Linked DNA regions of Arabidopsis thaliana. The protein of the gene in region 1 interacts with the protein of each later gene in a pairwise test. Each region holds a gene or a part of one and is shown in the gene's direction. Other genes may lie near its edges.

Region 1 (4,302 bases):
TACCTAAAATCTATTTTTTTTGTATATAAAATAGAATAATATAAATGGTTAGTTCCCAACTATTAGAATTATGGACGAAGGAAAAAGACAAAATTGGAAGGCCCCTTAACAGTGAGTTTGATTAGGACGACAATAATAAAATGAAAATGATTGGTCCTATCCAAACTCATTGACGAAATAGTGTGTTAATGTAATAATATGATATATAAAAAAGAAAAAGGAAAAGAGAGTGTGTGAGTAAAAGATTGGTCGTCAGCTGGATTTATGATATTTCGGCGGCATATCCCGTCCCCACCGCACCACCAACCGGAAGGACCATGGCATGGATACACATTTGTCTCACTTTATATCATAAATAAAAAAATATTATATGTTATCCAGATTTCGTATCCAAAATTTTCTAACAAAATCTCCATTTTATAATTCTACTGACCTTTTTAAAAGGCACTGTTGTGACTTCATTTCAAGAGATACGTACCAAATCTTTATTATCAAATATATCGTGACGATAGACATGTACACACATATAATTGTAGTACGCATTACTACGGAAAGAATATTCCAAGAGCTTACCAATTCCATGCCGCATACATTGGCGTTTATCCTAAGTTAGACTTAGGATTCCTAACGTTCCGAATTTGCGTTGGAGAGCAAGTTCCTGATCTGCTTACGGAAAAATATATTCAAACTCAAATTGCGAATGCCGAGACCATTTCAATTTTTGGGTTTTTGTCGAAGGGATGATGAGCAAATTAAAGCTAGTCCACCTTTTTAATAAAATTGCTTGTGAAGAAGAAACAATTAGGTCCAATATTACTAGAGACAAAGGCAATTTATAATTTTAATATTTTTGGTACTGTTTAAAAAAAACTATCAGTACCAATTGAACAATTTCTAATTTTGATATTTATAATTTAGTTAAAAATATGTTTGTCATATTAATTCTTTTTTTGCTCATATTAATTCATTATCCAGTTTTTTAGTCATTACATTTTTATTTTTTTTTTGTTTAGTCATTACATTGAATTAGTCGAATCAGTACATAATCGTTTCATCAGAGAACTAGTGAATTAAACCGACCCAGACTAATTGGAAGCCTTAATTTTGGATCTTATATTGTAGGCATATTAACTTTTTAATTTTCTTACATAAATCCTTCATATGAAATGTTTGTTTTTAAATGGCCATGGCCCAGAACCATTGCATTTTTGGGCTGGATAGTGGATGTATATGTGAATTCGTCATCATACCAACCTGGTCTGGCCTCTTATTAGTGCAGTTAAGACTAAATAACCCGTTTGGTAGGGAGTAGGGACATTTATTATGTCTGGGGTCGTTATCGCCTTATCGGAATCAAATTGAGTTTAAAGACAAAACAGTATGATCGATTAATTATCAAACACAACTTGTTTATAAATGTATAGATGTCGACATCCACATGGTATCATAACTTCTTCTGCAACATATCCCTCGATATCATATCCACCATTAATCTAATTTATTGCAGTATAACGAGTCGAGATATGTTCATGAATTTTCAAACTCATTAAAAAATTGTTGTAATTTTTTGTTTCGTAAGTAAATTTTGTTTTTTTTCTCTTTCAATTTAACAATGTAATTTTCTGGATGAAAAATTTGCAAACGGTATAAAACTTAACATTTCATATGATTTTTTTTTGGATAAAATTACAATTAAAATAATAAATAAAAGATAATAAAGTATAACTTTTGTATATTTTCCTTTATAAAAAGTAATGAGGTTGTTAGATGGACGGGAAGACGGGGACGAGGCTTTACAGAGTTTTTCTATATCCTTGTTGTTTCCGAGTGGGAATAAGCTCAACACCAAAAACACGTGCTTATTTTATTTACACGTCTCTCTTCTCTTACTTTTTTTTTTTGGGTCCATAACACGTAGTTTTTTTTTTTTCAAATTCATAACACGTATATGAATCTCAGACCACTAGAAGCCAACAAATTATACGATCATTATAGACAATAATGAGAAGACTTCTAGTTTCGATCATAATATGTTTAGTTTATACATATACGTCACGTTTTATGCATTATATACACAATCTGGTCAACATAATTATGGAGTGGAGAAAATAATTTAAGCCGCGTCTCGTTGTCGAATATATAGTAAGAATACCTGAAAACACTTTCTATTCATAAACCCTTTACGACAAAACAATAAAGACGTCTCTCGATTTATCTTTGTCTTAATCAGGAAACTATTTGACATTTCTTTATCGATTATTACTTCATATTCGGGTATGGATGAAGATTTTTTCTTACCCGATTTCTCACTAGTAGACATTGATTTCGACTTTAATATTTACGAAGAAAATAATTTATCACCTGATGAATCTTTATCAAATTCACGAAGAGCTGATCAATCGTCAAAGTTTGATCATCAAATGCATTTTGAGTGCCTCAGAGAGAAGCCAAAGGCAGCGGTGAAGCCTATGATGAAGATCAACAACAAGCAACAACTGATTTCTTTTGATTTCTCTAGTAATGTTATTTCTTCTCCAGCCGCGGAGGAGATCATTATGGATAAATTGGTTGGTCGTGGAACCAAAAGAAAAACATGTTCTCATGGCACAAGATCTCCGGTTCTTGCGAAAGAACATGTTTTAGCCGAGAGAAAGCGCCGTGAGAAGCTTTCTGAAAAATTCATTGCTCTTTCAGCTCTCCTTCCCGGGCTTAAGAAGGTATTGCAAATTTAAATTGTAAATTATCGATAAATTTGTTATATATTTAACTATAGATATTTTCATAGTGAAGAAAAAATAATAATTCATCAGTGTCAATTGGTTTTGAGAATACAAAACTATCTTGTGGTTTTTTAGGCGGACAAGGTAACGATTCTTGATGACGCGATCTCGCGTATGAAACAACTCCAAGAACAACTAAGAACGCTCAAGGAAGAAAAAGAAGCAACGAGACAAATGGAATCCATGATTCTTGTAAAGAAATCTAAAGTGTTTTTCGACGAGGAACCTAACCTATCATGTTCTCCTTCAGTTCATATTGAATTCGATCAAGCATTACCAGAAATCGAAGCGAAAATTTCTCAAAATGACATTCTCATCCGAATCCTTTGCGAGAAAAGCAAAGGGTGCATGATCAACATACTAAACACAATTGAAAACTTTCAATTGCGCATTGAAAATAGCATCGTATTGCCATTCGGAGACTCGACTCTCGACATCACAGTCCTTGCACAGGTGATCATTAATAACTATATATATATGCAATACTAAAATGGATAACTCGTAGTTCATCCAATATAATATTGATGTATTAATGAAACTGATAATCTACAATTATGCTTTCTTAACTTTTTGTGTGGCAGATGGATAAAGATTTTTCGATGAGTATACTTAAGGATCTTGTACGGAACCTGAGACTCGCAATGGTTTAGGTCTTCTTTCAAGTTTTAGTAACCTGAGACTGTACATTGACACAATCGTTTCGTGGATTTGCTATCGTTTTCTTCTTGAGATTTTTTCACACGTGCCCACATGTTTGATGTGTTTTTTTAGCAAAGCTATTTCCGATAACGACCGTTGAGAATTAATTTAGATGTAACATTTTTTGTTTGTTAATAATGAATTTAAAATATAACAGAATTGTTTTTTTATTAAGTGGCAGAAATAAATGTGGCCTTATCCGCTGTCCAAAAAAAAAAAACAAATGTGGCCTTATCCTTAGCATGGTCGTAATGCCTTCTGACTTGTTAAAGTATTTTGTAATTATTGACAAACCCTCTTCAATTCTTAATGAAATTCACATTCATGTCAACAAGAAACATATTGTAGAAAGCAAACCTTTTAACCAATCAAAAAAAAAAAAAAAAAGGAAAAGAAGATTGCTTGACATTAAAAAGATATTGTAGAAAGCAAAATTACATCGAAGGTCAATGTTACAAAATTCTGAAATATTTACGAAAAAATAGTAGGGCATGAAAATGGATTAAAAGAATTAACTTAATTATCTATAGTTTTGCCCCAATAAAGATATACAATTATAGTTTTCGTAATTTATTTTGAAAGTTTCAGTAGTTAGCAAATTCAACAACTTAGCTACATTTGCTTTCGACAAAAAAAAAAGCTACATTTGCTCAAAAAAAAATGACGCTAAATTCAACCAAATTTATTACTATTTACCAATAACTATTTAGAAGTCATAGGGCAAGGGCAGTATCGGAGGGACGTGACCAAATAATAATTGCCGCACGACGCGGTACGATTAAAAGCCAATTCAAAACCTTTGAGTACCACCTAACAAAATCAT
Region 2 (5,720 bases), 5.7 Mb from region 1:
CTCGTGCAAGTAAAGTTTCCATCTCAAGAATCGGGTTCACCGGAAGGACAGGAGAATTTGGACTTGCTCGATTCATTGGGGGCTTCATTAACCTTCTTCAAAGCATTTAGCCTGCTCGAGGAACCAGTCGAGAAGCTCTTGAAAGAGATTCAACCTAGGCCAAACTGCATAATCGCTGACATGTGTTTGCCTTATACAAACAGAATTGCCAAGAATCTTGGTATACCAAAAATCATCTTTCATGGCATGTGTTGCTTCAATCTTCTTTGTACGCACATAATGCACCAAAACCACGAGTTCTTGGAAACTATAGAGTCTGACAAGGAATACTTCCCCATTCCTAATTTCCCTGACAGAGTTGAGTTCACAAAATCTCAGCTTCCAATGGTATTAGTTGCTGGAGATTGGAAAGACTTCCTTGACGGAATGACAGAAGGGGATAACACTTCTTATGGTGTGATTGTTAACACGTTTGAAGAGCTCGAGCCAGCTTATGTTAGAGACTACAAGAAGGTTAAAGCGGGTAAGATATGGAGCATCGGACCGGTTTCCTTGTGCAACAAGTTAGGAGAAGACCAAGCTGAGAGGGGAAACAAGGCGGACATTGATCAAGACGAGTGTATTAAATGGCTTGATTCTAAAGAAGAAGGGTCGGTGCTATATGTTTGCCTTGGAAGTATATGCAATCTTCCTCTGTCTCAGCTCAAAGAGCTCGGCTTAGGCCTCGAGGAATCCCAAAGACCTTTCATTTGGGTCATAAGAGGTTGGGAGAAGTATAACGAGTTACTTGAATGGATCTCAGAGAGCGGTTATAAGGAAAGAATCAAAGAAAGAGGCCTTCTCATAACAGGATGGTCGCCTCAAATGCTTATCCTTACACATCCTGCCGTTGGAGGATTCTTGACACATTGTGGATGGAACTCTACTCTTGAAGGAATCACTTCAGGCGTTCCATTACTCACGTGGCCACTGTTTGGAGACCAATTCTGCAATGAGAAATTGGCGGTGCAGATACTAAAAGCCGGTGTGAGAGCTGGGGTTGAAGAGTCCATGAGATGGGGAGAAGAGGAGAAAATAGGAGTACTGGTGGATAAAGAAGGAGTAAAGAAGGCAGTGGAGGAATTGATGGGTGATAGTAATGATGCTAAGGAGAGAAGAAAAAGAGTGAAAGAGCTTGGAGAATTAGCTCACAAGGCTGTGGAAGAAGGAGGCTCTTCTCATTCCAACATCACATTCTTGCTACAAGACATAATGCAATTAGAACAACCCAAGAAATGATTGTAACTTTTCTTAGATTGTAACTTTTCTTTTGTATTACCCAAAAAAAATGATTGTGACGTTTGTTCTCGATTACTTCTCTTTGTTCAAGAACAATTTATGATAGTTTTATTTGAAATTGTCTCTATTATCGAATCTTATACTAACATCTTAGTTAGTACATACTTATTAAGCATTCGAATTCGTACACTCAAATTGAAGAAAAAAACACAATTTCTTATATACTTTTTTTTTTTCTGTAGCTTTAGAAGAGTGTAGAAACCTTCTCCAGTGGTCCTGCATGAGATCGCAACTTCGATATTGCTTGCTCCTTGGAGTTTAGAGGAGTGTAGAAACACTTTTTGTTTGTTTACTTTTGCTTTCTCGATCATGACAAGTTGACAACTCGTGTTATATCCAAAATGACATCATGCATGACTTGAAAATTGAAATCTATCTATGATATTACCATTTCTGGACAATTTTGTTAACCGATTTATATATCTTAACATCTTTCTTTTTTGGTATTATTTACGTTACGATTTTTCATCGTAAATTTAATTTAAAATTTTATATATGCCAGTGTAAAAAGAAATTACTCAAGGTCATTAATAAAAATAAAAATAAAACGTTTTTCCCCAGCGGTCTATCATTGTAAGTTTTATTTTACAAAAAGAATCTTCTAATATAATATGGGCTTTGAAAATGTCTAAGTGGAAGGCCCATTAATATCTCAAGTCCAATAACAATGGTGTACGAACCAGCGGCACCGTGTGTGAAAGAGTGAATCAAAGAGGTGCGGCGGTCGCCGGCGAAGACGTGTGCTCGTCGAAGAAACTTCTCCAACCTAAAATTTTCCGAAGGTAACTCCTCGAGCGAGATTTTAAGCTCATCACACAAATTACTTTTCATTCTCGCTTTCATGGGCTCTTCTTCGATTACTGTGTACATCACTCAAATTTTGGGTTTTTGTTCCTGTTTCCCTCTCGATATAATCGTAAAGTCTTGAAATTGCGAGAAACCCTAATTTGGGGGTTCCTTGCTGATTTGTTAATTTGTGTGTTATGACATTTTCGTTTAAATTTGTGAACTTGTAGAAGTAAGAGTTGAGCAAGTTATCAATGGAAATCGATGAAGAAGAGCCAATGGTGTTCTTGGACCGTACAACAAGAGCAACACGGGGTAAACGGTAAGAATTACTTGAGCTTAAGCTTTTACCTGATGAATGTGTTTCACCTGAAGATTGTGGTTTTGTCTCACTGTTATTGAGATGTATCAGAAACTCTCTTGTGGAAGCTTTATTCATCAGTTTTCTGTTTTTTTTCAGGATGACCAAGTTGCTTGATGACGAAGTAGAAGAAGATGAACAGTTTTGGAATCAAGAAGCTCTTAAAGAGGTTTGTTTTGTTTTATATATAGCTTACTCTCTTAAAGAGATGTTAATGATTTGTTAAGGTAGACTAGATGTCAAAATATATAATGGAAAAAAATCAGATTTGTAGACAAGATACTATCGCAGAAACTTTCGTGTGTTTGCTGACATTTATGTATCTCTTTACTTTTGTTATCTGCAGGAAGAACATGATGATGAATATGAAGCAGAACGTGAGGTTGCTGATGAGTTTGACAGTGACTTCAATGACGATGTATTTATGTCTTGCTTATGTATTGAGTACTTATTCATCAAGGTTTTTGCTTATATTTCCATTCTTTTTAATTTCTTTCTTTTGCCTTTTGTTTGGGATTAGGAGCCTGAGCCTGATGCAGTCGCTGTAAATGAAAAAGAATTGAGGTTTGAATTTTTTCAAAGCTTGTCTTATGATGGCTATTATGTGTGTCTGTTTTAATTTTGTTACAATTTTGCATATTGTTGTAGGGATCTGCCAAAGAAGCGGCTGATTTACCCTGGGAAAACTGCTTCAAAGAAAAAGAAAAAGAAGACGAAGGTAGTTTCACAACTAGAATATATTCCTGGAGATGAGAAGCCAGGTGAAGAATTGGGAAACAAGGAACAAGAAGAAAAAGAAGAGAATGAAGCACAAGAAGATATGGAAGGTGAGAAAGTCATTAGGAAATCAACACGGACTTCAGTGGTTGTACGGCAAGCAGAAAGAGATGCATTGCGTGCTGCTATACAAGCAACAACAAAGGTTTCTCAGAACTCATCCCCACTAGCTATTTACATTCATGGCTACACTTTAATCTCTTTTCTAAGTCTTGCCATGTTGAATTCTTTTTTGTGTTTGTTCAGCCAATACAAAGGAAAAAAGTAGGGGAGGAAAAACGGATGACCCAAGAAGAAATGCTGCTGGAAGCTGCTCAAACAGGTTTGGCTTTTATGATGCTGCATCTGATTTGCTCTATCAGAAACTCAAAATTGCTAAAGTCAGGTTCTTGCAGAAATCATGAACTTGAGGAATTTAGAACGTGTCTTGGCAAGGGAAGAAGAAGTAAAAAAGAAAGCGATTGTGCATAAAGCAGTCTACAAGGGTCCTCAGATTCGGTATCATTCAAAAGATGGTAAGCTCTCCAGTAAAATAGTAATCCAGTCTAATTGGATCTTTCCAGAAAAGTAAGAACTATATTTGTTTAAACTTTTAACTTTACATGCAGGATGTAACTATTTAGAATTCTGTAATGGTGCGTCATTCAATTCAGAGTTGTCGACGAAGTCTGTTCCCTGTAAGTAATTTTGAGTGGTGTTTGGAGATGAACATAAATGTGTTCATATTGATCTATACTGATCTCTGTCTTTCTTTTGGTTTGTTTTCTCTTTTCCAGATCCAGAAAAAGCTGTATGTGTGATTACGGGATTACCTGCCAAGTAAGAGTTTTTCTGTTCTTCTTCTTTATTCATCGGAAGAACAAGATCTCTGGGATGAACACAAGTAGACTCTCTTAGGTCTACTAAAAAGAAGTTATCAGTTTCTTTGATATATACTTCTCGAAAAGAAATGATGTTATAACCTAGAAACCTGATTATCTTTTCTCTGCAATTTTAGAACTAGTTCTTAGCTGTTGTGTGTATTGCTGATACAGGTACCGGGATCCAAAAACGGGTCTTCCTTATGCAACTAGAGACGCCTTCAAAGCAATACGTGAAAGGTGTTGCTTGATCCAATTATTGCTGCATCGATGTTTTCACTTGTCTATAGAAGTATTCATCTGTTGTTTCCTCTAACGGATCAAGCAAATGAATGTTATCGAGTGAAACAGGCCTTTGATATTTACATTGTCTTTATTAGTGTTAGAATCTGATATTTCCCAGTCTTATGTTTATTGTTCTGAAGGTTCATGGACGAACATGATGGTTTGAGAAAGAAAATGGAGATGGGAGATTTGTTTGATACACTAGTGGCGAAAGGTTTTGCAACAAAACAAAAGAGAACGAAGATTCCAAAGAGTAACAAATCATTTTCCCTCAGAAGCTCAGCTCGTTTCCTTAGCTCCGAGTCTGAAGAAGAGAGTGAAGAAGATTCAGATTAATAAACACCTCCCTGATTTGGTTAGTATATTAATATAAAGCCTTTAGTTTTCATGAAACATGATCATGAACTCACAGTTGTAATCATGCTCTGCAGAATCTGCATCTCACATGATTGTGATACATCATTCATGGATCTTCCCACGACCATGGTTTTGGTTCTCAGAGATTAGAAGCGAGAAGAACATTCATGGAGGAAATTTTCATGATCAGAGCTTTGAAATGGAAACAACAACACTCTAATCAGAGATTGATCCTCCTAACCAAAACCTCTGACACCCATCTCAGAATCAGAGAGAAAGTGTAATCTTCTGTATATTACTGACCTTGTAAAGATGATATGTTTTGGTTGATAAATATCAATTTCACATTAAACCGAACCGAATAAGCTTTTGATTTTACTTCGGTTCCGTTAAAACCGTTCCAAATCTATAAATATATCACCGATTTGAAAATTGAAACTTTTTGCGATTTCTAAGAGCTCCAATGGCATAATGATTTGGAGTTCAGATTCATGCTTCAAATCCAGGAAACACCAATGTCTTATCTTCCTCAAGCTATGTTCCTCAATTAAACACCTTCTACAGATCCATGGTCAAATCCATCTCTCCTCTCTCCAAAATGACAGCTTTATCATCAGCGAGCTTGTACGGGTTTCATCACTATCCCTCGCCAAAGACCTTGCCTTTGCGCGAACCCTTCTGCTTCACTCTTCAGATTCGACTCCTTCTACTTGGAATATGCTCAGTAGAGGCTATTCTTCAAGTGATTCTCCTGTGGAATCGATTTGGGTTTACTCTGAGATGAAGAGACGAGGAATCAAACCTAATAAGCTCACTTTTCCTTTTCTTCTCAAGGCTTGTGCTTCGTTTTTAGGTCTCACTGCTGGGAGACAGATTCAAGTTGAGGTTTTGAAACATGGGTTTGATTTTGATGTATATGTTGGGAACAATTTGATCCATCTTTATGGTACTTGTAA

Evidence for each region.
Region 2: the proteins of AT2G22760 (region 1) and SWC2 interact in binary tests that used the Arabidopsis thaliana proteins (3 or more experiments, as listed by UniProt).

Annotation. Positions count from the first base shown.
Region 1 is NC_003071.7:9,675,736-9,680,037, forward strand, and holds AT2G22760 (basic helix-loop-helix (bHLH) DNA-binding superfamily protein), read left to right. Parts: upstream 1-2,108; 5' UTR 2,109-2,276; coding exon 2,277-2,717; intron 2,718-2,855; coding exon 2,856-3,233; coding exon of another isoform or gene 3,234-3,269; exon of another isoform or gene 3,270-3,361; coding exon 3,362-3,430; 3' UTR 3,431-3,767; downstream 3,768-4,302.
Region 2 is NC_003071.7:15,406,089-15,411,808, reverse strand, and holds SWC2 (DNA binding protein SWC2), read left to right. Parts: upstream 1-1,896; 5' UTR 1,897-2,120; intron 2,121-2,354; 5' UTR 2,355-2,378; coding exon 2,379-2,446; intron 2,447-2,584; coding exon 2,585-2,654; intron 2,655-2,831; coding exon 2,832-2,903; intron 2,904-3,005; coding exon 3,006-3,049; intron 3,050-3,133; coding exon 3,134-3,407; intron 3,408-3,508; coding exon 3,509-3,584; intron 3,585-3,657; coding exon 3,658-3,777; intron 3,778-3,870; coding exon 3,871-3,939; intron 3,940-4,038; coding exon 4,039-4,081; intron 4,082-4,296; coding exon 4,297-4,362; coding exon of another isoform or gene 4,363-4,438; exon of another isoform or gene 4,439-4,547; coding exon 4,548-4,743; 3' UTR 4,744-4,762; intron 4,763-4,838; 3' UTR 4,839-5,187; downstream 5,188-5,720. Other genes in the region: UGT73C1 (UDP-glucosyl transferase 73C1), read left to right, coding at 1-1,278; AT2G36730 (Pentatricopeptide repeat (PPR) superfamily protein), read left to right, coding at 5,236-5,720. UniProt on the Arabidopsis thaliana protein: Component of the SWR1 complex which mediates the ATP-dependent exchange of histone H2A for the H2A variant H2A.F/Z leading to transcriptional regulation of selected genes (e.g. FLC) by chromatin remodeling.